Tamandua tetradactyla: one gene and its partners. The protein of the gene in region 1 interacts with the protein of each later gene in a biochemical or structural test. Links are inferred from orthologs where the notes say so. Each region holds a gene or a part of one and is shown in the gene's direction. Other genes may lie near its edges.

Region 1 (7,246 bases):
AGTGGATTTAAAATTACTTTGCCAGGTCTGCCAGGAAAGGCTGTGCCATGGTCATTCCCTGTGGTGCTGGGGGAAGGGTCCCCATCCTGCGGCAGGGGGGCCCTGCACCGACTGCAGCCAGGAATTTGCACCATGGGCTGGGCTTCACCCAACTCCTACTTCAGTCCCGGTGGCAGTCCGGCAGGCTGGGCACACACATCACCCCCACTTGGCAGGCGGAGACACTGAGAGGTAAGTGATGGCCCTTGACCACATTGCCAGGCTGCGGCCGAGCTTTCAGGCTGCAGACTCTGCTCTCTCCCACGACCTGCTCACCGAGCTGTCCCCAGGAGGGAACTAGAACAGCTTCCTGCCTTCAGAGTCCTGCACTGGGTTTCAAAGGCTGAAGCCGGAAAGGGGTTCCTTCCCATCTTTGTTCTGGCCGGGTGTCGTGGTGACCAGGGGTGGGGCCTGGTAGGCGGGTACCAGAACAAGGATGCTTGGGTTGGCAGCTACGTTCACCAACTCGCCACGCCACACCACGCTGGCCTGGCAAGTCCAGGTTGCCCTCCTGCCCGCGGATGCTCTGGGGGAGCAGGTGTGGGGCTGCTGTGAGCTGTGGCCTTGGTTGGGTGACTTAGCCTCTCCAGCCTCAATTTCCCCACCTGACAAGTGGGGTGGGAGAGGGTGAAACGAGAACCTGTGCACCTGCTGTGTACCAGGCACTGTGCTGAGGGCCTGGGAGCTCCTGAGAGATGGGAGTGTAGGTGCCAGGGTGAGAAAAATGGGAACGGAGCCTGCCTGTGTGTGTCTGGGGGGGTGTGTGCTTCGCAGGCATTGGGCCTGGGGGTGTGTTCTAGAAGGTCCGTTGAACCCATGGGTGCCATGTTGGCCCCTGAAAGAATGGTCTGGGACAGGGAGTCTCCATGCAGGGACCCCGGATGCAGAAACGGCCGGCTCAGTGCAGCAAAGAGGCCAGGGTGGAGGAGGGCGTGAGCGTGGGGCTGGGATGGAGGGGAGGCAGAGTGGCCAGGGCTTCTCGGGCCACTGGAAGAAGATGAACTTGTGTTTGACTGTGTTGGAAGCCTGGGGTGGGTTTGAGGCAGGAGTGTGGTATGATCTGGCTTGCACTTTGCAAAGACCTCCCTGGCTCTGGGTGGAGAACCTCTGTGCAGGGCCAGGAGACCGGGTGGTGGTTGCCATCGCCCGCGAGACTTGGCCTAAGAGGGTTGGGATGGAGCAGGGGGAACGGGTGGGCACAGAGGATTCACTGAGAGAGATGGGCTGTAGGGCTTAAGGAAAGGGGGGGGCAGCCTCGGGAGGTAGGTCTGTCCTGCCTCACGAAACACTGTGGGCCGTTCCACCTGGAAGTCCTTTGTGAAGTGGCACCCATTCCCCCAGGAGAGGCTCTGGGAAGGAGGGGGAGGGTGGGAGGGCATGTTAGGCTCCAGAAGCCAGCGTCTTCTCTGCTGTTTTTGAAGGAAGGGCTTATGTTGGAAGGCACTTTTGTTGTTACCCTGGTGACCAGATGGTTCTAGAATGCTGGGGGAAGAGGAGGCACCCCCTGGCTTTCTGTCCCATGTCCTGCATGTTTATGGACTTTCTCGGGGTGGTGATGGTCCCTGACTCATACCCAGAGTTGGGAATGCTTGTGTGGCCATCCGTGGTTCAGTGAGCACTCGCTATGTCCCAGGCGCTGTCTCCTCCCATCCTCACTGCACCCCATTTACAGATGAGAAAACCGAGGCCCACAGTGATATGAGGCCCTGTCCCCAGGTGCATACCGCTGGTGATGGCAGGCCATCTGCTGCAGGGTGGAGCAGACAGGAAAAGCTGCCGGCAAGGAGGAGAATTCTAGGGGACCCAGAGGGTCCCAGAATGCAGGCGGTTTCCCATTCCACTTTGAAAACGCAGTTGGGCTGACCCAGTTGCTTTGGAACTTCTTGGTACAAGTGGGAAGTTACCAAAAAAATCACAAGATAAATATTTGCTTGTTACAAAAGACTGAAATTCAAATCACATGGAAGATTATAAAACTGAAAGTGATATTGACCCCTTTCCCACTTTTACTCCACGGACAACCGCCCTCCAGGGCTTAGAGTATCACCTCGGAGCCTTTTCCGTGCAGGGCAGAAGGCGTGCACATGCATGAAACCCCCCCAGACTGAAGGACACGGTCCATTCTGTGCTTGGCATTTTGCTTTTGGCAGCATGACTTGGATCGCTGCCCAGGCTGGTTCCAGTGTTTATTGAGCCCACTTGCTGCCGATGGACATTTAGGTCACAAACAGATTTTCGTCTGGAAAGTCCAGCCACGAGGAAGGGCAGTCTTTGCCAATACAATCAGTGTGTTCCAGTGCGGAGCCCCCCCACATGGGATGGATTGCCCCGGCCCCCTGCCCTTGGGTTGCTGATATTGTAGTCGGAGATGACAGGTAGAGAGGCAGTGACCCAGTGAAATCCCAGCTAGTGGGCAGCATTGGGTGGAGAAACTGCGGCCAGCAGGCCTCTCTGAGGAGGTGACACTGAGTTGAGTGGGCTTGGGGACAGTTGTTCCAGGCTGTCTGTCCCCTCTGCAGGGGAACAATACCTGCAAAGACCCCGAGCCAGGAGGGGTTTGACCTCCTTGCTGTTCCTGGACCACCAGGGCTGCTGGGGGAGAGTGAGGAGGGGGAGAGGCCCAGGGCAGAAGGTGGTGGGGTAGACTTTGGAGCCTGCGAGTGTTGTGAGCAGGGGAGGGACAGGGCCTGACTCACATCTTATTGAGTTTTGCTTTGATTTCTGAGGGGTGAATGCGTTATATTGGGCGCTGAGGTAAGAACTTTGGAAAGCCTTCCGACTACTCTAAGGCGGATGGCATTGTCCCATTTAACAGATGCAGAAGCTGAGGTCGGAGCTGTGATCTGGGCCAGCCCAGATGATCCTAGAAAGGGAATGGCGGGACCTGGGTTCCATCTGGAGTGTGGAGGGCCCCAGAGCCATAGCCATTCATTGCCATAGGCTACATCCTTCTTTGCTCCTCCTGGCTGAGACAGGAGCTCAAGGGCGGGGCTCTCTGTGGAGGGATTCCTGTGCAGGGAGGAACCCATAGGTGTGGGGGTACGGGGGTGGAGCAGTGTCACAAGTGCAAATGGGACAGCCCAGTGGGCCCTGACCTGCACTCTGATGGGGAGTGGGGGTGGGGGCAGGGCCAGACCTTAGCTCCGTGAAAAATGAATCAGCTGGAAGATGCCAGTTAGGAAGATGTCACTTGAGACGGGTGGTAGTGAGGGAGGGTGTTTCATATTGGGGGTAGGGAGGAGGCAGCCGGTCATGCAGATGCTGCAGGAAGAGGGTTCCATCCTGAGGGTACCGCTGTGCAAAGGCCCTGAGGTAGGACTTTGCTTGGTGTTTGCGGAGCCTGGTGTGGTGAGACTGGAGGGAGTGAGAATTGGGGAGAGTGAGAGGAGGGGACGGGGCAGGTAGAGCAGCACATGATGGGCTTTTGCTCCAGATGAGATGGGAGAAATGGAGGGTTCTCAGCAGGGGAGGCCCGCCCCCCCCCCCCCTCAGGGCTTCACAGGTACTCGCTAGCTGCTGTGGGGCTGGGTGCCTGGGAGCTATGACTGTGTGGGTCCAGGCAAGCGATGATGGCAGCGATGGGGCCTGGGCTTTGGGTGATGGCTTTGTTTGTGGGGACAGTAGGCAGTTCAGGCTTGGTTTGCAGGTGGAACAGCAGGACCTGCTGTGGCTGGGGTGAGGGGTGGGAGGCACCCTGGGTCTCCAGCCTGTGTCAGGTTGTGCCCATCCTGCCTGCGCCTGGGTGGCCACGAGGGTGGGAGATGCTTGTCCTGGAGCTGCTGGACCCTAAGGCCTGGATTCCTGCAGAAAGGTGCTGGGAGGGTTGGGGTCTCAGGGGTGCATGACTGGAAGACCAGGCTCAGGAGGCTGAGCTTTGACCGCTACTCCTGTTCTAGCAAAACCAGAAAGGAGGCCCCTGGGGAGGCGGCGGGGGGAGTCAGCCTCGCTGATATCTCACCCATGTTCTCATCCCAGCTCTGTCCCTTCCCTACGAGTTTCCTGGGGAGGCCCTGGCCCTCTGAGCCTGGTTGACCCATCTGTGAAATGGGGCGGGGGGGGCGGCGTGTGATCCTGGCATCACCCCCTTGGGATTGCTTGAGGATTTCCTGCGCCATTGCCCAGTAAGGGGTTAGAACCCGGCCAGGTGGGCGGCCTGTGCCCTGAGTGGACTTCTCCCGTGGCTGTAGCTGTGCAGAGAGCAGAGCAGGCCATAGTAATGCCCCGTTATGCCCCCTCCCCCGGGCCCCAGCCCAGCCCCTTGGCTGGGTGTGTCCCACTGACTCATTCCTGGTTTCCTTATCTGTTTGTTTTCCCTCTCCTGGAAAGGGCATCCCCACCCTCCTGGGGACTAGAAGTCAAAGGCTCTTCGTGGGGCTTTGCCCTCTGTTCCACACAGCAACTAGACAGCCTCTGCTCTGCCTGCGGTGCCCCCTCCTGGCCGTCCTGGCCTCCCAGCAGGGAGAGCAGACCCATTTTACAGAGCAGGTAAGCTGAGGCTCCGAGAGGGCAACATAGCCCTCACCGGGTCACCCAGCCAGCTGGGCTCCCTGCAGGGATGGGCAGCGTCCTCCTGTCCCTCAGGCAGAGGTGGCAGAGCTGGTCTTGACCTGGCTGCCTGATTCCTGAGCCTGTGTTCATCCTGCTCATGCCCCAGCCACCTCCTGAGCACCTGCTACCTGCCAGCCTCGTCCTGGGAGCTGGGAATCCAGCCATGCCTGTCCCCAGGTGAGGGCCCATTGGAGGCCCTGCTGGTGGGCGTGGGGAAGGGGCCTGCACTTGGGAGAGAGGACTGCAATCCACTATATCTGTGCCTGAGCAGAGACAGGCAGGGCCTGTGGGGAAGGGTTTCCTGGCAGTGGGAAGAGCCCCTGCAAAGGCTTAGAGGCCAGAAGGAGGGCACAGAGACGTAGGGGGCAGGGGGCAGGATTGTGGGTGGTGTGGGCAGGGTGGGGCTGAGGATGAGGGAAGTGGTCAGAGCATGACTGGTCGTGTGGCCTTGTGGGGGCGGGCTGAGGGAAGAGACCTGGAGGCAAGGAGGCTGGGCCTTTTGGTTCAGAAAATAATGTGGAAGGAATCCTCCAGGCTGAAATGATTATAGTGAACACTTACTGAGTGCCTGCTGTGTGCTTGGCCTGTGTTCTGGGTCCTAGTACCCAAATGGGGGGGCGGGGTGCAGACAAGAGCATGCTCGTGCTGCGGAGGGAGTGGAGGGCAGAGAGGGGATTAGAACTGGGACCAGTCCAAGCAGCCCTCTGCCCACTGGGTCTGCCCTTCCTCACCTCCACAGGAGGTGGAGTGGCCCTGTCTGGTGCCCCAGAAACAGACAGGAGAGGCAGAGAGGCCAGCCAAGGTCGTGGAGCCAAGAGGCTGCCCTCTCAGGCAACCTGGCTGCTGTTTGGAAGGAGGTGAGGGGCTGGCCACTCCTGTCCCAGGAGGGTCCTAGGTAACCTCTGGGGCTGGGGGGCAGGGAAGAGGAAGCAGATGGCCAAGGCCTGACCGTGGCCTCCAGATAAGTGGACAGTCAGGGTTCTAGGCAGAGCTGCTTGGGGGGCAGCTTCCTCCCACGCCGGAAGCCCCAGGGTGCGCGCTCTTCTGCCCAGGCCTCTCTGGGCCCCTCGGTCCAGCTGTCCCCTCAGCTCCCCTCCCTGCCGCCACCCCCAGCCCCCCCAGACGGCCTCTCCTGCCTGGCCCCAGCGCTCTCTGGCTTTTCTTGGGCACCACCCGCATGCTTCTGGTCCTCCAAGGCTCCGATTGTCTGTTGTTCTTTGCTGGACTTTGGTGACTTCTGTGGCATCACCATTGTCCCCACGGTGCCTGGCACCACGGCCGGGCCCAGAGCAGTCACAGTGCAGCCCGTGCAGACGCCGGCTGTGCAAAGCCTCGTTGGTCTGGACAGCAGCCCGCGTCTCCCACCCAGCTGCTGGTGGCCCGAGGGGTCAGGTCCGGGGCCTCAGCTGCCCCCGGGAGATGGAGTTAACATCCGGGTCCTGGGGATTTTCGTCAAGGCCAAATGGGCCGACCCGCAGAAGGTTCTCTGCCCTGGGCCTGGCCCAGCGTGTGCTCCCTAGCTGTTGGTTGTGCTTTTTAATGTCATTTTATCTTTTCTTCTTTTGCTTTCGCTATTCTTTTTTAAAGTAATGTTTTGGACTCAGTAATCCACATGCATGCCGCAGAAAGATGTTTGAGAATGTGCAGTGAATCTCCGAGACCCGCATTGACAGGCTTTCGAGTTCTTCACACCTGAGCTGTTATTATTGGGTAACTAATAAGATTATAATCCATGGACAGATTTAACAGTGTGTTCATTTTTTATATTTTTATCTCCACAAGCATGTCCTCCTGAATTTGTTAGCGTTTGTGACCTTCTATTAAGAGTTTAACTTAGATGCAGTAAATCTCATAAATCTGAAGTACACACCTTGGTGGTGGTGGTGTTTTATGAATGAATTCTCATAACTACCAGACAGATCAAGGTAGAGAACTGTCATTGCGGAAAGTTTCCTTTGCGGTCATTTCCCCCAGGGGATCCGCTGCTCTGATTTCTATCACCTTAGACTAGTTTTGCCTGTTAAAGTCTGAGGCCACCCACCATGACTCAGCAAGAGAAACAAGGGCACATGGCCCTAGAAGGGTGCACGCAGGCATGTTCACAGCAGCTTCATTGGTAATGCCCAGAGCAGACAAGCTCAATAAAGCAGGGGCCCCCATGTGATGGACCCCAGTACCTGGCAGGGCACTTGGGACACAGATGCCATCTGGAGGGAGCAAGTGAAGCTGCCTTGGGCCAAGTAACGGTGCCCACCTCCTCGTTGTCTCCGCTGCAGGGACCCCCCATTCTCCAGATTGCCTGCGACTTGTGCCGCCTTGGTCCGTTTCTTCCTAACCCCCATGCCTGCTCACTGCCACAGTGCCTTCTTGGCTCCTCCTGCCCCGTTGCGCCCATCACACTGTGTGCGTCTGTGTCCCCAGTACCTCCACCCAGTCTGGAGGGAACGAGTGTGTGACCGTAGTCTGCCAAATGGGAATGATGGGCCAACTCCGAGTGTCAGCGTCAGATGCAGCACTTGTACCCTGAGCTCTCGGGAGCACACATGACCCGTTGCACTCGGGGTATGGGGGTCTGGCTGTGCCGCCCCTTGGGGCTTGCGTGGATTCTCCAGGCTGTCTCTGCCTTTGCTCAGTTCCTCTCCCGGTCTTCTCCTTCTGG
Region 2 (7,141 bases), on another chromosome or scaffold:
GTCAAGCAAATAAGCTACAGAAAAACAAACGGAGTTAACTCCGAAATGTTACCCCATCCACTCAGGTCATCAGTTCAGGCTCTGGCCAGCTGCATCTCCAATGCTCTATTCCCCATCCCACCTTAGGACTGGTGAACAGCATGATACTCGTTAGAGTTTTAGGGTGAAATTTTCACTTATATTTTGATCACTTGGGAAGAGGTGACAATATTAAGTTTGAACAATGTTTTAATTAACCTGTGAGATTTTTCATATATATCCACAAATCAGAAAAAGATATCTGTCCAAATATTTGGTTAAAAAATATGGTCAGCATAATCAAAATCAACAAAGAGGAGGTTTGGTTCAAGTAACACTTTGCAGGCTGTAGAGAATGGTCACCCTAACTAGATATGCCAACTCTGTTACTTAAATCAAAGAGGGAGGGGAATAGTCTTAACTGCCGGAAAACTTCTGAGCCTGGTGTAGGAAACTTTTCTGTCTTTAGAAATCTGTAAACTCTAAGGAGACTGTACAAGCAGTGACCCAAGGTGATATTGTTTTGCTGCATACAATTGCACTGCTGTTACAAAATGGCACAGGGGACCCTGTCTCGCTTGTATCTAACTGAACTCTAGAGTGGTCTATTTCAGGAAGGACTTAAACAGAGCCTGGGTAAGCACTTATGGAGGCTTCTTAAAGGGGATTCAAGCATCAGTTGAGGGGGAGAGGGTGCTGAGAGGACCATTAAGGTCTCTTCTAATTATGGCAATCTAGGTTCTTATGAACATTAAGATATATTTGACTGAATGGATACACATGTGGCATAACCTATATTTTTATGCAACCTGATACAAAAATGGATGAAAGGGTGAAAAAGCAGAAAAGGAAAAATATTCTTTTTGATATGAGCTTTAGGCAGAAGGAAAACAGGCAACTGCTTAGAAAGGATGTCAAATTCTTTTTCTCTGTGCAATGGCGGTTCCCAGCATGTACTTAGTGGCCCCTTAAAAATAGCAGAAAATTCATGACTTTAATCCCTTCCCCACAATAACTGTTTTTACTTTTATTATCTGTTCATGTATAAAACACATTTTCACTTGGAATCTAGGATTTCTTACATGAGGCACTCTCCTGCCAGCAGCTCTGGGGATGCGGTGCAATCGGAGGTGGGTGGAGAGGTGGTGGGATGGTCCTTTTATCCAGTTTGTAATCATAAAATGGTCAGGTTACTAGTGTTCACTGTAGGGCCATTTAACATTTTATGATCCAGAACAACAGAAACTTAACTTTCTCTTACATTACATTACTCAGTACCATATATTCCCGTATGCTATCATTGGGGAATGACAGTAGGAGGGACAGTTTTCTCTTTCTGTTTTACTCATGTAACACAGGGACATTATAGGTGGAGTGTGGTGGTGTTGAGGGTGACAAGCAATTGAGGGATCCTTCCTATTTGTCACCAAACTTCTCTCCCTTCAGCTGCTAACATTACAGCAGACTGTATTATTTAATTTTCCAATTCACAATAAAATATTGCGGAAACAAATCTTGCTTCAGGTGCAAAATATGATTTACGTTCAGTTGAATATTCACAATAACTGCAAAATCAACAGAAAATAATTCCATAGAAGATGTATCATTTATTATAATGTATAAAAAATAGAAAATTATTTTGCAAAATACTGTAGTTTATTATGGGTGGATACATGTGTCTATTCTTGCTCCTCTACTCAAAAAACTCTTAGTTCAAGGGAGTACTGTTCACTGGGTCTAGAAAGAGCACAAATAACTTTTCTAATGTCTCTGAAAATAGTCTTCATGAAGATCACAGGCTAAGGACAAGAAATTTACTTTTTAACCAATTTTTAAAAGAACAGAGTTCAAAAATAAAATCACTGTGATTCCATTAAGAGCATTTTTAGAATTCCCAGGTTCAGCGGCCCCACCTCCTTCTTCAAGGCGATACACAAATTAATCAAGACTCATTCCTGGGCCAGGGGCCCAAGCAACTAACTTTGCTTTCAAATGCACAGCATGCAAAGTTGTGAAACTACCAAAATATTTCACTGCACCTGACAGGCAGCTTGATTTTGTAGGGGGGAGTCCACTCCACTGAAAATACAAACATCTGAATCCCTCCCATAATAAGCTAGAGCAATGAAGTAAGATTAGCAGCAAAAGGTAATAATTATATACTGCAGGGGTAGGTAGATAGGATGAAGAAATTATTAAATGACTGAAGTTTGAATCCTGGCTCCCCTACTAACTAGATTTGACCCTAGGCTACCTTCTTTTAATCTTGTTGGGCCCTAGTTTCCCCATGTATAAAAAGGAATAATAATAGTAGTTACCTCAGTGGGTTGCTGTGTGCATTACACAATACATGCAAGGCCCTCAGTACAATACCTGGCATAAAATAAGCATTCAATAAATGTTCGTTATTTCACTATTATTTCTGTAAATTGGGCAGAGAACCTCAAGGTAGTTCTGAACCCATCCATCTCATCAGCAAAGGGTTTGGTCAAGTGCAACCTGACCTTTTCAGTTGCTATTATATCATCTGCACCTCTGCTATCCAATCACAGTAGTCAATAGCCACACGTGGCTGGCTACTGAACACCTGAAATGTGTTCAACTGGAATTGAGACGTGCTGTTAAGTGTAAAAGATACACCGGATTTTTAAGACTTAGTAGGAAAGTAAATTAAAGCAAAACATCTCAATAAGTTTTAACATCGATTACGAGTTGAAATTGTATTTTGGGCATGTTGACTTAAATGAATAATATATTATTAAAATTTATTTCATGTGTTTCTTTATACTTTTTTTTTTAATGTGGCCACTAGAAAATTTAAAATTACCTAAGTGGCTCGCATTATATCTATCTGTACTGGACAAAACTGATGGAGAACCTAATGTGGAACGGCGGCCCCTGGGCGCTTGGTAGAAAAGCAGACTCTCGGATCCGCTCCCGACCTACAGAACCAGTACTTGTACCTTAACAAGGTCCTCCGGCGATTTTTAAGCATCAGCTGTTTACCTTAAAGAAGTGGGCAAGGGCGGCCTTTTAACCACATAAATGGAAATACGCTCTGGTAACTGTTTAGCGAATAAGAGAGCAAGCGGAGGGAGAGAAGCAGTAGGGGCGGGGGGGAAAAAAAAGAAAAGAAAAATTAAATGAACAAAAAAAATAGAGGGGAAACATCCAATCTGCGAGACAAATGGAACATCCAGGCCTCTGCGTCCAGAAGAGGGGAGGGAAATGCAAAGTGAAATAAAACCTGCAATTAGTAACCTGTGAAGGGCCAGGAAATTGCCCGTGAAATCAATCAAGCCCTACCCGCCCCTCTGCGGCCTTAGCTTATTAGCTAGGCCTGGACGTAAGCGGGTCTGAGGCTGGGCCGCGACGTGAATCACCGTCCTCCCGGAGCTGACGGTTCCGCGCTGCGCCTCTCGACCTTTTACCAAAACCCCGATTTCCAAGCCGACACAGAGCGTTTCCCGGGACTCACCTGCCTCTAAGCCGCCCCAACCGCCTGCGCCTTCGCCACAGCCACCTTCCAGGGCTTTCGCAGACAGGCCGCACCTTTGGACCAAGGCGCTGTTCCTATTGGCCACCTCGTTCGTCACTCCTACGGGGCTGAGCCGGACTCCCGAAGGCTGTCCAGAACGCCCTAGCAACCGAACTGGGAACTACAATTCCCGGTATGCTCAGCTCGTGAGTTGTGGTCGCCTCAACGAGTTCCATTTTATGCAAATTTAAATCGAAAGACCACACCCTTCCTCATTCCAATCGTATCTCCTAGAGCCTTCCTCAAATTGTGCCTTGCCTCCCTTTTGTCGCCATAATTTTCTCCCCTTTAAAGCCTTCTGTAATTAAGTTAGTTGGATACACCCTATCTAGTGTTTCGAACGGCAACGGACAGAAGCACAAAAATCTCCATAAATGTCGACAGTAAATGCCCGGACCAGAAGCCTCCAGTTACGCCTTCGTGGAGGGGGCGGGACGAAAGAGAATCCTACGCCCGCCCCATTTGAGAATGCTGATTGGTTTATTCGGCTGTCGCTCCTACCTTTTCCAGTTTCCCGGCTCCCCCACCTTTCGCTCCCGTGGCGGGCGGGGCTAGCGATAGGGAGCGTGAAGAGGGGAGGACCCCTTCTTATGATTGGTAGGCTAGATGTCCCCGCCCACCTATGGGCGGAGATGTGGGTGGGTAGATAGGTGGGGGGGTGAGGCCGACGGAGAAGAAGAGATAGGCGGGGGCGAGGGAGGGAGCGAAGGAGCGAAGGAGCAAAGGAGGGAGAGGAGCAGAGGAGCGAAGGGAGGAGGGATCGCAGCTTGGTTGCTCCGTAGTACGGCGGCTCGCTAGGGAGAATCCCGTGCGGGCTCCGGGACGCACGGATCGGCAGGCGGGCGGGCGGGGATGTTGTGCGGGGTTGTGGCTCCTGAGTCCATCCGCGCTGCGGGTGAGCTGCACTGATTTGTCCCCAGGGCGGCAGCGCGGACCCGCCTGGAGATGAGGTGAGGAGCGGGCTGGACTGCGGCGGCCTGGACCGCGGGAGGCGGCGGCGGGGGTCGGCGCGATGGCCGCCCGGGGCGCCCTACCCACGGCCGGCGCGCGTTCCTGCCGGCCACCCTTCGCCCTCTGCCGCGCGCTGGGGAGGTGCGGCGCCGGCCGTGCTCCGCCTAGTTCTTCCCGGTCCTCCCTGGGGCCGCGGCGGGGCGGCCGGCTGACCGGCGCCGGGGACCCGTGGGGGTGGCGGCCGCGGGACGGACTTCGCGGGGAGTGGGCGCCCTCAGCCCTGGCCGGCGAGCGACCTCCGTCCTTGAGGGGCGTCGGGGGCGGTGGGTCCTTCCAGGGCTGACCTCGCTGCCCTCGGCCGCCGGAGTGTGGCGGGTTGGCGGAGCCTCACCTCCCCGCCAGCCTCCCGGGGAAGCGGGACGCACGGGGAACGGTATCTTGCTGCCCGCCTCTCTCACCGCCTCTCCGGCCTCGCGCCGTCGGCTCATGCCTTCTCCTCCTGCCTCGTGCGCCTGCAGAATCCCTGTCATTGAAGGGCAGTCAATGCCGTTTGGCCCCAAGCCTCCCTGCCTGGGCTGACTGATGGTATTTAACCAAAATCAGCTCCCTTTCCAGTGCCACTTCGCCTTCCCTCCTTTACGCACAGACAGGGTCTTATGGTGTGACCTCTAAGGCACGACTGCGGTCTTTTCTTGCCTGAACTAAACGAGGAAATGTAATTAGAGTCCCCAGGAAAAGGAAACCAACGAGGAAGAGGCTGTACCTTCCTTCGCTCTGTCTTTGGATGAGAAGATAACTTCGTAGATTGCATTTCCTACGGGCATCTTTTGTCGTGATTCAGACGCTGAAGAAAGCTTTGCTTTTGAAGAAATAGATTAGCGGTTTCTGTAATTGAGTATGAGGCGGTGGAGATTTTTGATTGCCTCAAATATGAAAGTTTTCTTAAAAACTTTGCCGTCATCGGTGCTATTCTGAAAGCAGCATCCACCTGAAAATTTAAATGTATGCAGACTTGCGTTTCTTTGTGCCCATCTGTTGGCATCCTGCTCTTACTACTTTCGTGGTCAAAAAGTATTGATTTAAAAGCAAGTATAATAAAAGCTACAGATAATAAAAAACAAGTACAATAACAAACACATGCCATCTGGAAGATGTAGCAGGGAGGCAGTTTTACTAATCCGGTTGAACCTATGAAGAAACAGGCTCAGAGATCTTATTATGGGTTTTGTAGAGGACAGGGTCTGAGGGCTAGAAGTGGGCCAGGGTCCCAGCAGGTCAACTGCTTTGCGTGGTGCTACTCTTAACCCCTAAAATAATGGTAAATGTATTTGTTGGGTTTTTATTTTTAGATGACTTTAAAGTTGATAGTGCAGAAGCTTAAAGGCATCTCAAAATTATTCCATCTCTGAGAACAAATACTATGTTTAATTTTTTTTTTACTTGAAATATTTAGGTTGTTTCGATGGGTGATTGCTTATAAATAAAAACTTTTTTTTTTTAAGTATTGAAGAACTCTTTCTGCATGAAGGTTTGCAAAGAACCCAGGAATTTTAAAGTAATCTAAGTTAATAAATGAGGGACACTAATTTGGTGATGGCATTAAAATTATTTCAAATTCCTTTAAGTAGCTCCAGGAATGGGCATTTCTGATAGAAATTGCTAAGGCACGTGGTACCTTCACAAGACTCTATTATCATTCTGCCTGAGTAAGAGGAAATGAACACATTTTTAATGTACTTTGGAACCCTGTGGATTGTTCAGATACTAAGCATTGTGAAATAGGGCATAAAATGAGTACTAATAAGTTAGTTCCATGAAATGTTTGTCACTCAGCATTTTTTTTTTTTGCAGTTCACTAGGAATTTCCTTTTTCTTAATACTTATCTCTAATATTGGTAGATTTCTGCTAAGCTTACTGTTTCCCCAGATGCTTAGTTTGAGAAACTCAAATCTGTAAGAGATTAAGGAGGAGGTGCTGGTAAATTCCTCTACTCTTACCTGTCTTCTTAATTTACTAAATTTGTGAATTATAGAACATTATATTACTGAGGACAGCTCACATTCCACTATTGTAGAGCTTTCTTAAGCTTTTTGTTTCTTCTAAATGATCAATCCCTTCTTACTCACTTAACTGTTTGAATTTCTCAGTGTCTGGACCTCTCAGCTTACTTACCTCAGCGTTAACTCAGGTATGTGTTAAAACAAAACAGGTTTCTGTCCTGAGCTCAGAATCAGCCTACCTGGGAGTAGGGCCCTGGAATCAGTATTTTCAACAAGTTCTCCAGGAATTTTTCTTGTATGGTGAAGTTGGAGAGCTATTGGCGTTGCATCCCATCCTCACTGAACACCTCCTAAATTTTATTTGGTTTTTTAGGACACTTAGAACCATGTTCTGAAGTGTATAACGTGCCAGAATAAGTTATATACCTTAGGCTGCGAGTAGAAACCTTTTGACTGTGATTGCCATCTTGGTAGTGTTCCTGTAATACACCTTTCGGAAGGTCAGAGACTGTCTGGCTCACCAAGTATCTCTGCTTCCTAGCAGAGTGCCTGGAGTAACTCATTTAAATTCCTGTTGAGTAAAGAAAGGAGTGAAGGACGGACATCACAGTAAAACCAAGGTTTGCCACCTTT
Region 3 (7,290 bases), on another chromosome or scaffold:
AAAAAATTAAAAAAAGAAAGCCAATCCATTTCTGGTATATTCTATTCCAGCAACTTTAGCAAACTGGAACATCAGCATGATGACTACTTTCTAGTTTGGAGAAGCCACTGCTCCACCAGGCAGCTGAACATTGTGGGATGTGATGAAAAGATGTTAGGCTTCTGTTCTTTCAGTGCAGACAGGTGAAACTGAGTAGTAGCTCCCAGCATAGTTTAGACCAGAGCCCTTCTCCCGTTTTGACAGTGATCTCTTGAGGCCTTCTTGCACCTTGCTTCAAAACCTCTCACCTAAAATATTTTTAGTTTGAAAATGACATGTTTTGGAGACCCATGATACAGAGTGGGCTCTTGTCCCTGCCCTGGATTAATATGTGGCCTTGGGTAAATCACTGAACCTCCTTGACCTCGTTTCTGTGCCTATAATTGGGGGGATTGGACCTTTATTATAATGTAATTTGGCAATTACATCCAAGACAAATGCCAACCAACAACTGGCAAGTACACCAGAGAGAAACATGCGTACCTCAATGATAAGCCATACTGAAGGGATTGTGAAAAGAGTTAAAACCTCTATTTACTGCATTTTTAATAATATATTGGGCACTAGTTGTCCAGGAAATATTAGTAAAATGTAGCAATTACATTTTCATATACATTGCCAAAATCAATTTGCTTTATAAAATTTCATAGAGTATCGCTTCTATCGAGAATTAAAAAAAAAATATTGAGTAGTGAAACTTGGAAAAACTTGTGCAATGTTTCATACTAAATTAGGTAATAATATAGACAGTAGATTTAAAACTGTGTTCCACAGAATCATGTGAGTTCCTTGAGAGTATATTTTGGCAATGCTATATTGCTTAATTTGTGATTGCTCAACTCCTCTTATTCATTTATTCATTCATTTAACAAATACTCAGTGGTGATTTGCTGTGAGTGTTGTCCTAGAGTTTGGAGATACCATGGTAAGAGAACTGACACGGATCCTCTTCTCTTAAACTTACAGTCTGGTGGAGGAGACAGGCAAATAATCACTTGAATTACAAACTGAGATAAGTTTCCAACTACAAGGAAACCAGTACTATGTACCTTATATCCTTCTTATAAGTTAACTATATAAGAAGTTAACTTATACTGAGATCGGGTATGATTTCCCTGAGTAACTGAGGTAACTGCTGACACTTTAGCCACATTCTAAAGGATAAATGGGAGGTGGGGGTGGGGGACAGGGTAGGAAGAGGGGGACTAGTTCAAACAAAGAAACAGTATAATGCCCTTGCCAGGATCTGTTATATGATTTTTGGGGCCCAGTGCAAAATGAAATGTGAGGCCCCTTGTTCAAAGCCTATGATAAAAGAAAAACTTTACAACAACATTAAATTTAGGATCTCATGGATTTATTGAACGATTTATGAATCAGGCAGCATCTCATCCAGAAAGAAGGGAATGAGTTCCCCTAAGAGGTAGAAAGGTGGAGCTTATACAGAGCAAAAGGTGGAAGCAAGTGGGGATATGTTCTGATTGGCTGATGTTAAGTTTCCATTTTATATTGGGTGGTCTCACAAAGGGGGTACAGATATGCATTGATTAGCATAGTATATTTGTCAATACTTATCAGATTGTAAGCTCTCTCTCCTGGACCTGTTTTTCTCAGCAGGTGTTGCTTATCTGCAGTTCTGTAGGGTGCACTCCATTGTTTCATTTTTTGGAAAGCTCCTGCAGGGGTTCCTCACGCAGTGCACAATGCATTTTATTTTACTTAACTATTAAGATATGGAAGATAGTGAAAGGCGGCATTAAACGAAGCCAGGAATCATCTAAGCACAGGATTCTGTGCGACTGCACAGGCTGAATGTCTGTGAAATCTGTCTTGGTCCTCTCTGTGCAAGGAAGCACGTTGCTCAGGAGGAATGAGAGGTCAATGAGGTTGAAGCAGAGGGCTCCAGAAGCTGTGAGATGGGCTTTGAGAGCAAGTTCATCCAAAGACGACAGCAATGACTGTACTTCTGGAACCTCTAAAACGATGCCTAGGTGGTTTTACTACCTCAGTAATACTGGGAGTGATTTCAATCTTATTTTAATATGTGCATTAATTTGCATCGGTCATCATGAGTTTGGGATATCCGTGGTTTCTTCTAAGAATGAAGTCAGGTCTATAGAAAACGTTCAAGTGGGAAAAGCTTGGACGCTCTGGTCTTCCTGCTTTCTTGGTGGCAGGTGCCCAGACCTCCCAATTGAGCATGCTGAAAGGTCTACATTCATGGCACACTGAGGTTATACTTTGCTATCAAAACATGCATTGTAGAACTGCTACAGGGAGTTGTATCCTGCTTTCAAATTTAAAGGACTATGGTAAAAAAAAAAAAAAAAGAAGCAAACAAACAAAAATAACAACAAAAAAAGACAACGGTAGTCATTACTCACAATATCATCTGAGTTCACATCCTGACTTTGCCATATATTAGTATGTGCTTAGTTAAGCTATATATTTGTTTATTCAAATGTAAATTTGTTTTCAGTGTAAAGTAATCCATATACATGGTAACATTCTGACAACTAATAGCATCTTATGAATCTTTTCAGAAATTTTCTAGGCATAAACAACATCCATGTTTTTATACAAATGGATTATACTATGTATAATGTTCTTTTTACCTTTATTAACACCCTTAAAATACTGTTAAGGGCTGTTCTTGTACCTCATTTGTGTGGATGAGTCATATTAATGCACTCTTATTAACAAACATATATGTTGCTTTCTATTTGGGATTATTACACAACAATGTTTAGTTCATTATCTTGCTCACTTGTGCAAGTTTGATGGGAGGATAAATTCCTAGATGTAGAATTGCTGGATCCAAGGTTATGGTCATTTTCTATTTTGACAGGTATAATCAGAAAGGGCAAGCTCTCTAACTGAGGCTTGATTTCTTCCTCATATATGTTAGTAGTGAACGATGACTTGCTCAATAGTTCCCTATAAGCATTAAATGAGATTAAGGCATATAAAAGCCTAGCTATAGCAAGGAAGCTTTTCATGAATGTTAGTCTCCATTTATGAACATTACCATAACTACAACTTTGGCCCTGAGCTCAGCAAACACAAATTCCACTGAAAATTCTGTAGCACTATACACATTTAAAACCCCATTATTTACTATAACTAAATGGAATCTCCTCTGGAGGTTAAATAGAATATTCTCAAGAGGACACACATTTGACAGTAACTCTAAATATTGCTTTCCTAGCCTAATAAAGTTGATTTTATCATATATACCCCTGATAATGAAAACAAAATATTTCAGATTAGAAGAATGTATTATTCCAATCAAGATTTATTTTTCAGTCATGTGTTCTGTACTTGAGTGAATCCAACTCCGAAGAAAACCATTTTGACTCTCCCCCTAGAAAACGGAAAACTTTATAAGACCTTCAGGTAACCTGTTGTGTCCCTCCAAAACCCCTGGGGGTGCTTAGACAGTTTTTAATTTACCAAGAAGGAAGTTAATGGGCCATCTCACAATGCAATCCCCAAGTGTCTCGGCCTAGAAACTCTAAAGGGGACCAGAACCTGCGGTAAAACTCCAGGCTGGAGGAAGAACTTCCTATCAGGGCCACTCCTCAAGGTAGCCATTGCCCTTCTCCTCCCTAGCTGTTTACTTAGCATTCATTTTACTCAGCTCTGAGCACTACCGACCCCAGAGCAATGCCGACCCGGAACAAAGACCCGGGGTAACTCCCACCCTGCCCTGGGGGGCTTATGTGGTTATTATGGCAACACTCCTGCCTCGCTCACGTCCACCTTAAACCCACCCGGGTGTGACTCAAGGTCTGTTCCTGGCTCCATTGGCCAGGGTCGAGACGCCAAAGCACATCTTTACTACACCACGTTTACTCTACGCCACGTTCAATGCGTGGCGATCATGCGGAGCGCGGGCAGGGCCCGCGGCCTGCACCGCCCACCCCAGCCCCGAGTCGGGGAAGCGGCCCCCGGGGGCCCGAACAAAGGGCGCCCGAAGCGGCGGCGGCGGCGGCCGCCGGGGCGGGGAGGCTCCGGGCGGGGGCGGAAAAGTGGGCGAGGAGGCCGGGCCGCAGCTGAGGGCACCGGGCGCGCTTCCGCCGACCGCGCTGCGCCGCACCGCGGTGAACCGACAGCCGCGGCGTTTCAGGATCTGCCGGAGCGGGCGGCGGCCGGAGTCACCGAGCGGCGGGGCCTGAGCGTCAAGACTCCCGGCCGAGGCAGAGCCGCCGCCCGCGCCGCGTCGGGGCCCAGCCGGAGCCGCCGCCGTCCTCGCCTGTCTGGCAAGGGCCGCGCAACCGCGACGCGGGAGAAAAGCCGGGCCGTCCCGGGCCGGGAGACCCGCCCGCCATGGCCACTAAGGTGAGGGGAGCGAGGCGCGGGTTTGGGTCGGGGACCGCGGGGGAGACAGAGAGGCCGCGCCACGGCTCGGTTCCGCGGGGCGGGCGGGCGGGGTTGCGGAGTAGGGGTGCGCGCGGGGTCCGCTCCGGGCGCGCAGCAGGGGCGCAGGCGGGACCCAAGCTGAGGAGGGTCCGGGTCGCCCCGGCCCTAGCGCGTCGTCCTTCGCAAAGTTTCCGTCTGCGGGTGTTTCGGGCCGGGCGGGCAGCGCTGAGGGAAGGAGGACTGGAGAATTCCCGAGCCCGGGCAGTTCCCTCGGCGCACGGCTCAGTCGTGGGACTTAACAATTTCACTTCCCCGTCGCGCTATTTCGCAGGCAGAAGCGGAGAGGAGCGCGTTTCATCTCCCTGCCCCAAGAGTGGGACCCGCAGCACGAGGGGCGGAGGTGGGGGGTCGGGGGTCCCCGAAGCCGCGCAGCGGGGAGTTGCTATTTTACTCTCAGGCCTGGGAAAGCTTGCTACCTGGGAGGAAACACTAAAATGAAACACTCCGTACTTCAACGCCCTTTTGTTTTTGTTTTTGTGTTTTAATTTTCTTTTGTTTGGCTACATTTTCAGTTTGAATGGTCTTTCCAACATGAATAAAACATAGAGGGAAATGACTGGGCTTTTGATAACGCATTTGCGTGAAAAAAGGCCCAGGCCCGAATTACGTGGTGGAACTTTGACTTGCGCTTGCTAATTGACCATGGGTATTAGTTTGCTTATTTTAGTGTATTTGTGAAATTAGTAGTCGCATTTTTACAACTGAGTCAACAAAAGCCACCCTCCCCTGGCTCCCGATTCTTGGGGTTGTTTTTCAGTAATTTCTTGATGGGCAAATATGGCAGGTAAAGCCATTTTCCCTGAATGAGGACTTAGGGTAGAAGGCTCCTAGGTAGGTGAGATATTGAACGTGACTAGTATGGAGAATGGATTTACTTTTGCAGATTGTTGTTATAATGTCAGCTATAAAATCAGCACGCTTTCGGTATTCCTTTTGAAATCTCTTAAACTCCTTCTGTAATTGGTAAAAGCCTCTTTTTTTTTGGTTTGGGTTTTATTTGGGGGAGAGGTATACTTAGAAAAGTGATAAAATATTTGACATCTCTTTGAGGAATCAGAATTGTCTGATTTCATACCAGTCTGTTAAATTTCGTGTTCTGGATTCCTGTAGGAATATATAGAAAGATGAATATTCACCACCAGCAAACGTGCTGTCTGTTGTAACTAAAATAATTATCTTGTTAATGTATTACCGACTACTTTTGTTCCTCGGTCTTAATAGATGTGATAGGACTTACTATGTTTTTGACTCATTAATTTCGTGTTGACCTGTATAAAGGCAAAACTTAACTCGAGTTTAGGATTTCTAAGGATTTGCCTTTGAGGTCTGTTATCAAACATTCCAGAAATTACTAGTTACACATCCTCTTTAACACTCATCTTGCCACTTTATAAGCTCTGGTTATGACAGATCTATTCGGTGGTGGTCATAATGTTGTGGTATTTTCCACACTGACTGATCTGATGCATGTTACGTGAACTTCCTTTTAAGTGGAATCCAGCTTAGCAACTATTGCAGGTATACATAATGAAAATTTTATTTTATACTTGAGCCTGAATTTTAAGTTTGAGCACCATTGAAAAGAACACTGATTCTTGTAACTAAATTTGAATTGCGTGTGTACTCATGAAATAGAAGCCTTAAAACTTGAATCAACACTTCCTGCTTTATTATCTACAGTACTCCTAAGGCAAATTACAGTAATTCTGGCTCTAGTTTCTTTTACCGCCCTAATCACTCTCATCTGCATGTGACAAACCATTTCCATTCTAAGAAAAAGAACAGCAAATATGTATATTGTAGGTTTGAAAAGAAAGGCGCTTATTAAAAAAGGATCCTTCCTCAGTTTTCTGGTTTTCCTACTTCCTGGTGATTCTTGTGTCAAAACAAAGTCCCATTTTTCAGCGCCTGAGAGTGAAGTCGTGTTTGGGGGCCCCCACGTTGGAGGAGTTCGGGTTTTTTCCCTTCTCATTCTTTAATGGGGGTGGGAGTGGGGTTATGGCTGGAGAGGATATGCCTGGTAAGTAGTAATGATTAACTTTTGACAAAATTTTAGGTTCATTTGGCACTTAGGCTTCGGCTACACAGGCATTAAGTGAGAACATATAAATTCAACATCTGGATATATTAGTGCTGGGTTTCCCTTTGACTTTTTCCCAGAGAATTATTTCTGTTCTTTTCAGATATAATTTTCTTATTTATTGTTTTTATGTGTTTTCTTGAAGATACAATTATCTTTAAACTGTCAGAATTTTTAAAAACTCCACTGGTAGATTCACAATAGTAAAAAGGAGATAAAAATTTCAATTGGGCAATTCTTTACTGCTGAAGAAAGTTAATCATTTACTGCATATTTTACAAGTTATCTGCTCTTTGTTTCTTTGCTCTTAATCCTTATTCTGGGGAATGGTGAATTCCGTGAATACCACTCTGAGTCCAATCATGTCTCTTTTAACAAGTATGGTGAAAGGCTAATGAGTGTGTTTTAGTCTTAACGTCTATTAGAAACCTTAGACGGTTAATATTTCAACTCAATCATATGGTGTGCACTTAAAGTTCCTGACTTTACTGACCACCCTGACCCCTAGCTGGTTTCACATAATTCCTGTACTTCATCTTAAAGATCTTGTCTTGACTGCAGTTTTACAATTTTTCTATGGTAATGGCTTTCTCCTTTAGGATACTGTAAGCCCCAGGAGGCTGGCTGGCACTCTGCTTACCTTTGAATTTTCAGTGACTGGCACAGAGGAGTCTCTTGATAGACGGTTATTACAAGAATGAGTGTTGAGTTTTCTTGCCTCAGTCCCTTCTTCTGCACTCTGAAAGAGC
Region 4 (6,864 bases), on another chromosome or scaffold:
GGTGGCAGGGATTGAGGGGCAGAAAGCTTAAGGCTGGTGTATTTCCTGTCTTCTAGGAACTCAGGACCCTCAGAGAAGTGCCAGGATGCAGTATCTCTGTGCAAACTAGAAGTCTGGTATTTGCCAGAAGATCTGGCATAATGCAAGGAGAAGTAGTGCATGAATGATGTGATGGAATTACTGCTGACCATGAATTTACTGTCCAGTTAGTGAGGCAGTGCTGTATAGGAGTTTCATTTAATTAGGGCTTTCTTGAGTGGATCTAGGTTTATTGTCCATTGATTTTTATCTAAAAAGATTATATGGCAGTGTATTGAATTACAACAACCTTTATCAAACAAATTTCTTCCTCATTGACCTTTGATTTCCTTTCCCCATATTGTACTTTTGGATTTCTCCTTAGAGCCTCTGTCACAGCTTCTTTGCAATCAAAGAAAAGAGCACCCATGTTTAGGAATTTTTATTGTCTGGTGCATTTGTTCCTCAGTATTTAAGTCACAATAAATGTCCGTAAGAAAGGTGTCCACAATTACAGCTCTGGAAACTTCTTATGGTTCAACGTCCTGTCTATATATCTTGGGGTGTTCCCTTACCATCCTCCAACACCTCCTACTGTGATGACTGCCAGTCGGAGGAGCTTAATAAATCTCTTTCAAAGATAACATCTCAAAGGTACGTATTAATTATAAATTGTGTCTTCCATAGAAATACTGGAATTAGATGAGATCCAGAGGATACTTTGGAGAGTTAGGCAGGGTTTCAAAAGGATTTAAAGGCTTTAATTAGTCCCTTCTCCTAGGGTAGCTTCTTTGAAGTATAACAGGATAAGACTTCTAAGTTTGTGGATGAAGAAACAGGGAAAGACAGAGACTTGTCTTTAATTTAGTTTCCAGGTCAGTATTCAGTCTGGGGAGACTCTGCAGATCCCCATTTCAAACTTTCCACAGTTAAAGACCAGAGTTCATAAATCCCAGGCTCCTCCACTTTTGAATTGCTTTATTCTGGGCAGCTCTAACTTAGGCCGACCCTTTTATGAATATGTTCCATTATACAGATCTGGGACCATTTAGGAAAAATTAACTATAAAATATTTTTTCTATTATGCAAGTAATGGGAAAACCTTTAAGGATTTGGGGGGGGGGGGGGGAGAAAACAGCAAAAATTCACTCTTAAGATCCCTACTTTCCCTGAGTGGTTCTCCAAGTGTGGTTTCCAGACTAGAGTATCAGCATCATCTTGGAACTTGTTAAAAAGGTAAATTCTTGGGCCCACACTAGACATAATGAATCAGAAACTCTGGGGAAGTGACCCAGCACACTTTGACAAGCCCTCCAAGGAATTCTGATGTACTCTCAAGTTTGAAAACTACTGCTCTATTAGCTCAATCACTTTTGGCAATTTGGCATTTCTTGGTAGCCTATTTAAGGAGTGTGTGTGTGTGAATGTAGGCAGTCCTCACCAACATGTAGAGTACTAATACAGCCATCATAAGAGTAACCCTCAAATCTCTAGCTGAGAGCACCACCTACTTATCTATGTAGTTAGACCAAGTCTTGCTGTGTTTACTAATGTCAAGAATCTAAGAATCACCAAGGTGAATCTTATTTATATATGTAAGTATATGTTCCCTAGGCATATCATCTCTTGGGCCTCAGCAAGGTCACCTTAAGTTTGTCTGGGATTTCAATGATCAGTAACTCCACCTGTCTACAGGAAGGACTTAAATCTTTCCCTGTCTAGAGTTTCTCTGGACCAGATCATCCCTTGCCCTGATACTCCCTTAGAATTCCTTGTGGATTGCCAGAGCTTACTATTCTTGTGCAGCCAGTAAGGAAAATGTGGGCTAAGGGGTCAAGGTACCGTCAGCTCATGTACCTTGTGCCTCAACTCCTCCTGATACTCAGGCCCTGGGGCTGAGTCTGCCCACCACTTCATTGAGGGTATCCTTGGCTGCAGGAAAGAGAATGCATCTATCCAAACTTAGTGAGACATTTTGTAAGAATGAAACTGGCAACCCCACGGACACCTAAGAACAAAAATTAAGATACACCCAGGCCATGGGAGAACCTGGAAATTCTCCCACCACTGCCTATGGAAAAGTATTCTTTCTCAGTGCAGCAGTCAGGATAGACTAATTTTGAAGCAATGCCTAATAACCCTAGACTCAGTGGATTAAAACTACAAGTGTTTTTTCTTTGTTGTTTTGTTTTTTTTTTTAATTTTCCTCACTCATGCTAAATATCCAGTGAGCATGAGCTGGGTACTCTGCCCTTCTTTATCCTCACTCTGGATCTTGATTATCTAGACTGGTTAACTATTTGGAATATTGTTGCAGAGAAAAAGAGAACTATGACTGCTCTCATAAATTTCCTGCTAAGAAGTGACAGTCACTTTCCCTCCTAACCCACAAATCAACACCTGTCACAGTGCCCAACCTAACCAGAAGGGATTTGGAAAGTGCAATTGTTTCATGTACTTGGAAGGTACATGCATGTAAGTAAAGGCTACCACCCACCCTGAGATCTGTTTCTTTCTTCTGCTTCTCTCTGCAAACTGGGTCAAGAGTACACGTGCTCTTACTGCTCCAGTATCCACCACTATCTGCTTGACTCTGCCTTCATGAGTTTCAGGTTCCAGTGTCAAGAAGAACTATGACTGGTAGCCCAGCAATGAAGAGGATGCCCTTGTGTCAGATGCCCGGCTTGTGCTCAAGCAGCTGTGTGTAGAAGGTAGCTCTGGATAGATATGAGCTTCCTACAATACAGCAAGGGCTGTGGAGGCAGTTAATGGTGTTTCTAGGACTCCTAGCCTGCTATGTTATCTCCTTACTCATCCTTGGCAATTTCTCTCAGGGGTCCCCTTTTATAGCATCTCTCTGGCTTGTCCTCTCTATTAGTTGGACATCCATATAGAGCCAGCATTAAAATGATTTCCTATAAGCTCCTTAGTTCCAGAAAAAAACAGAGAGAGGGGTTAATTACCAGAACACAAAAGGTATTTGTGCTTCTCCGCTCCCAATTCATGAAATTCCATCAGTTTTGCTTTGCCCAGGCATACATATTTTGTTACATATATATTTGTACAGTATAGTATCATGCTTTTCCACATTATATACTGCTTATTTTAGATTGAAAACCCTAAATCCATTCCCACAATTGCAAGGACGGCAAGATTATACTCAGGCTTTTAAATTTTTGTACACAGAGGATTAAATGTTATTACTGTAGTAATACCCCAATTCAATTCTATTTACCTGGCCAGCTTTACAGTTGTTGTTTTTAAAATTGTTTCTTAAGTCATTACATTGATTCATACCAAGATGACATTGGTGATTTCCCTTCACGTGGATGTAGGCTTAGGGGATATTGAAATTTTTCTGTGACCAATCCCGCGGGGCAAAGCGAGAAGGAGCAATGACTTATCACTCCTTTCCAGGTTGCAGAGACCAGGTTCAAAGGGCAGGAGGGCAGGAGGCAGGCAGCGCCGCAGCGGCTACCTGAAAGCCCAGCAAGGAACTGAAAAGAATCTCTGCCTGCGCTGCCTAGTTGCGGCTACCTGTCTACCGTCCGCGGGGTGACGAACGCCATCCTCCAAGGCGGGAGAACAGCGTCCCCTGCCCTCTGACCACGCAGTCGGCCCGCAGGTCCCGCGACCCCAGATCCCCGCGGCGGGCGCCAGGGCCCAGGTACCGAGAGCCGCAGCACCTGCCCGCCCAACCCCGCTCCCGGGGCGGGGCTTCCCGCGTCCCCCTTAAGAAGCCGCATCACCCGCCCCTGACGTCAGGGTGTCTCTCCGCACGAGCCCGCGTCCCGCGCCGCTCCGCGCCCCCGCGCCCACAGCCCTGGCGGCGGCGGACTAGCGGCGGCCCAGCGAGCGCGCCGCCCCGCTCGGCTTTCCTGCCTAGTTCCACCGTCGCCGTTTCCTTCCCGCAGCTGCGCGGACGTCCTCCCGCACCATGTCGGTGGCCGGGCTCAAGAAGCAGTTCCACAAAGCCACTCAGGTAAGGCGCTTGACAGGTGTGTCGCGGGGCGGTCCCGGGCGGAGCTGCGAAGGGCGCGCTCGGCGCTCGCCGCCTGGCGGAACTGTGGGGACGTCGTCGGCCCGGCGCTGAGCCTGCTCCGGCCGCGGTCCGCAGTGCCCTCCGCGGCGGTGGCCGCCGAACATCCCGCGGCTAGGAGCCCTTCTCGCCCCCGCTTCCCCCTCCCCCTGCTCCCCACCCCCACCCTGGCGGGACTCTGCGGGCGCCCGCGGGGTCTCGGGCTACCGCCTTGGTGCGCCGCCCCCGCAGCCACGCGGGGGAGGGGAGGGGGCCGCGGTTACCCCGCCGCCGCGGCGCGCAGGTGCTCGGAGGCGCGGCGGGAGATTATGTAAAGTCGCCTGTTTCCCACTGACCTTGCGGTGTGGGTGCGCCCGGCTGCCCCGCGATGTGTTGGCGTGGGCGACTGCCCGGCACTGAGGACGGCTGCCGAGATGCCCGCGGTCCGCGCTCTTCCCCAGAGGTCCCTGAATCCCTCCTTCCACGTCGTTTTCTGTCTCCAGAGGAATGGCAAGTTCTTGTGTTAACTTCTCTCTGGAAAACTCAGTCGTGAAACTCCTTGGAGGCCCAAGCTTGACCAGCAGTGTGCTTGACTACAATTTACCCTGCGTTTTGCATTAAGATTATTGAAGTCTTAAAATGATGTATTTTTAAAGTATTGTTATTAGTGAGTTTTTTTACGTCTTGAATGTGCTTGTTTTCCTCTGTGGGGCTAATAAGCTGTGATTGTAATGAAATTTATTTAATTCAGGTTCTAAGTTTATTAAAACTCATTGGGCTAAGATGAAGGATGTTACCTAGGAATTATAAGTGAATGCTTTTGATGTGACCTCTTTCTTATATAATGTGTATGATTACCTTTTTTTCCTTATTCTTCTGAAACAAATTCAGTCAAAGGGACCTTTGGTTAAGAACTTTATCTTTAAATATTTCCCACAATTTAACCTTATGTATTTTTTGTAACTTAGCCATTATTAGCTTTACCATAATTTTTTTTAGAAGAAATGAGGTTTTCCCCAGGCAGCGGCAATGGCAACCCTATTATAAAGCACGTCCAGAAATGTTGAGGATGAGTTTTGTAGAACCTTGATTAAGTTAGGGTGACAGATGCATGAAAGTCAACTTGGGTTTGTGTTTTTGTGCGTGTGTGCCTGCCATCTCTGTCACAGTAGGCTTGACTTTGTAGAATCAGCTCGTTATATCCATCAGTTTGGGAAATCTGGGAAATAAGACTATATTGGGAAAATATCCATTAACATAATTATTTTGCTTTTCAGATTGAAGCTTTCTGTGAGCTCTCTGTCAGACATGTTTTAAATGTAAGAGCATTGTTATATTTTGGGAGACCTCTAACAACCTTATACTTCAAATTCTTTCAGGTGTCAACACTAATGTAAATGATGGCCTATAGTACAATTATAAAAATCTTTCTTGAATTGTAACAGGTATCACATTAATGCAAGGTATTAATAATAGTGAGGTATTATGGGAACTCTGTATTTTATGCATTTTCTGTAATACTACAACTTCTCTAATAAAAAATTATTTCTGGTGCACAGAAACAGTATATACGCTGCCTGTAAATTCCTAGGCAAGGCTTCTTTGATGTCACTGACTTTTTATTTCAGATACCAGCCACTTCTCTAAAATGAACCTCAGCACTGCATTTACCAACACCACATCCATCTTTATGTTGATTCTATGGTTTTCCTTTGCAAAGCTTGGTGCCTAAAAAGAGGTAATGAGGAACCTTGGCTTTGGAGTGGGAAAGGCTAAGGTTTGAATCCCACTTTGGTTATCTCTGATACTGAGCAAGTTATTTAACTTCTGAATTGGTCATTGATGAAATGAGGATTTCCTTGAGTTGATGTAAGGATAAAAGAGTTTATAGACCACACATAAAAAGTGTTCAGTAAATGATAGCTATTAACAGTAAGTGATTTTATTAGTATAAAATATGATTTTTTATTTTATTAATGAGAAAATGAAAATAATGAGGAAATTATTGAAACAGGAATTTTTATTGTGCTAACTTAACAGAAATAATCAAATGGTTCAAATTCAGCTAAATTCTGAAGTATAGCTTTAAAGTTAGAATAAAAATTTGAATCGACTTACAAAAGAACTTCTTAGATGTTTGGAGCTTTGCTTGTTATAGAATTGGATTATTATTTATCATATCAGATGCAGAGTTAGTTGCATCATTTTCTTTTTATTGAAAAACTTTTCATTTTCAAGGGAAAGAACGCACAGTTTTTTTGTCCATACCCTAGGGTAGCAGAATCTTAGAAAGCCCAAGGCAAAGTTTGCTTTTGGTGTGCGTATATTTGTATTTTGAAGGGTGTGTAAAGTCGGTGCTAATTTTTGCACATTATGGGGATAGTAGGGGAAATGTCTATGTCCTACTTTCGTAGCCACTTTTTGTATGAAATTCCGTAAACCTCATTTCATCTGCAAAGGAGGCCTTAAGACTTGAAACTGTTTTCTTCTGAGAATTGACATTTATTTTTTAAGAAAACACTGGACATGTTCGACTAGAGCCTCTATTTATAAGTGGAAGCCCCTCATTAGGCAGACCTTTCTCTTAACGAGTTATTTCCTTATGTTAGTGAGAGGTGGTATTTGTATTAATAAAGCAGCATACCTGCAGTGTTTGCATAACTAATTTTAAATCTCTAATTAAGACATGTCACAACTGTTCTCTTTTCATTTAAAGTGATTATTCCTACTTTGTTGCTAATAATTATTTTCCAGATCTCTACTATTTGGAGGTGAAAATATGCTTTTACCAAATAAATTTTATTGGCCTTTTAGCCTGGAAATATATT

Evidence for each region. The genes of interacting proteins can lie anywhere in the genome.
Region 2: the proteins of DNM2 (region 1) and ITSN1 form a complex in vitro, tested with the Homo sapiens proteins (2 studies listed by BioGRID and IntAct, with this or other methods). The link is inferred for Tamandua tetradactyla from reciprocal best matches to the Homo sapiens genes DNM2 and ITSN1.
Region 3: the proteins of DNM2 (region 1) and SNX9 form a complex in vitro, tested with the Homo sapiens proteins (2 studies listed by BioGRID and IntAct, with this or other methods). The link is inferred for Tamandua tetradactyla from reciprocal best matches to the Homo sapiens genes DNM2 and SNX9.
Region 4: the proteins of DNM2 (region 1) and SH3GL2 interact in a biophysical measurement, tested with the Homo sapiens proteins (2 studies listed by BioGRID and IntAct, with this or other methods). The link is inferred for Tamandua tetradactyla from reciprocal best matches to the Homo sapiens genes DNM2 and SH3GL2.

The regions. Positions count from the first base shown.
Region 1 is NC_135337.1:91,083,677-91,090,922, reverse strand, and holds the start of DNM2 (dynamin-2), read left to right. Parts: upstream 1-4,240; 5' UTR 4,241-4,255; coding exon 4,256-4,524; intron 4,525-7,246. UniProt on the Homo sapiens protein: Catalyzes the hydrolysis of GTP and utilizes this energy to mediate vesicle scission at plasma membrane during endocytosis and filament remodeling at many actin structures during organization of the actin cytoskeleton.
Region 2 is NC_135336.1:94,021,255-94,028,395, forward strand, and holds the start of ITSN1 (intersectin-1), read left to right. Parts: upstream 1-4,117; 5' UTR 4,118-4,506; intron 4,507-7,141. UniProt on the Homo sapiens protein: Adapter protein that provides a link between the endocytic membrane traffic and the actin assembly machinery. Acts as a guanine nucleotide exchange factor (GEF) for CDC42, and thereby stimulates actin nucleation mediated by WASL and the ARP2/3 complex.
Region 3 is NC_135328.1:150,460,082-150,467,371, forward strand, and holds the start of SNX9 (sorting nexin-9), read left to right. Parts: upstream 1-4,266; 5' UTR 4,267-4,368; coding exon 4,369-4,380; intron 4,381-4,568; exon of another isoform or gene 4,569-6,439; coding exon of another isoform or gene 6,440-6,481; intron 6,482-7,290. UniProt on the Homo sapiens protein: Involved in endocytosis and intracellular vesicle trafficking, both during interphase and at the end of mitosis. Required for efficient progress through mitosis and cytokinesis. Required for normal formation of the cleavage furrow at the end of mitosis.
Region 4 is NC_135328.1:79,631,765-79,638,628, reverse strand, and holds the start of SH3GL2 (endophilin-A1), read left to right. Parts: upstream 1-3,840; 5' UTR 3,841-3,955; coding exon 3,956-4,000; intron 4,001-6,864. UniProt on the Homo sapiens protein: Implicated in synaptic vesicle endocytosis. May recruit other proteins to membranes with high curvature. Required for BDNF-dependent dendrite outgrowth.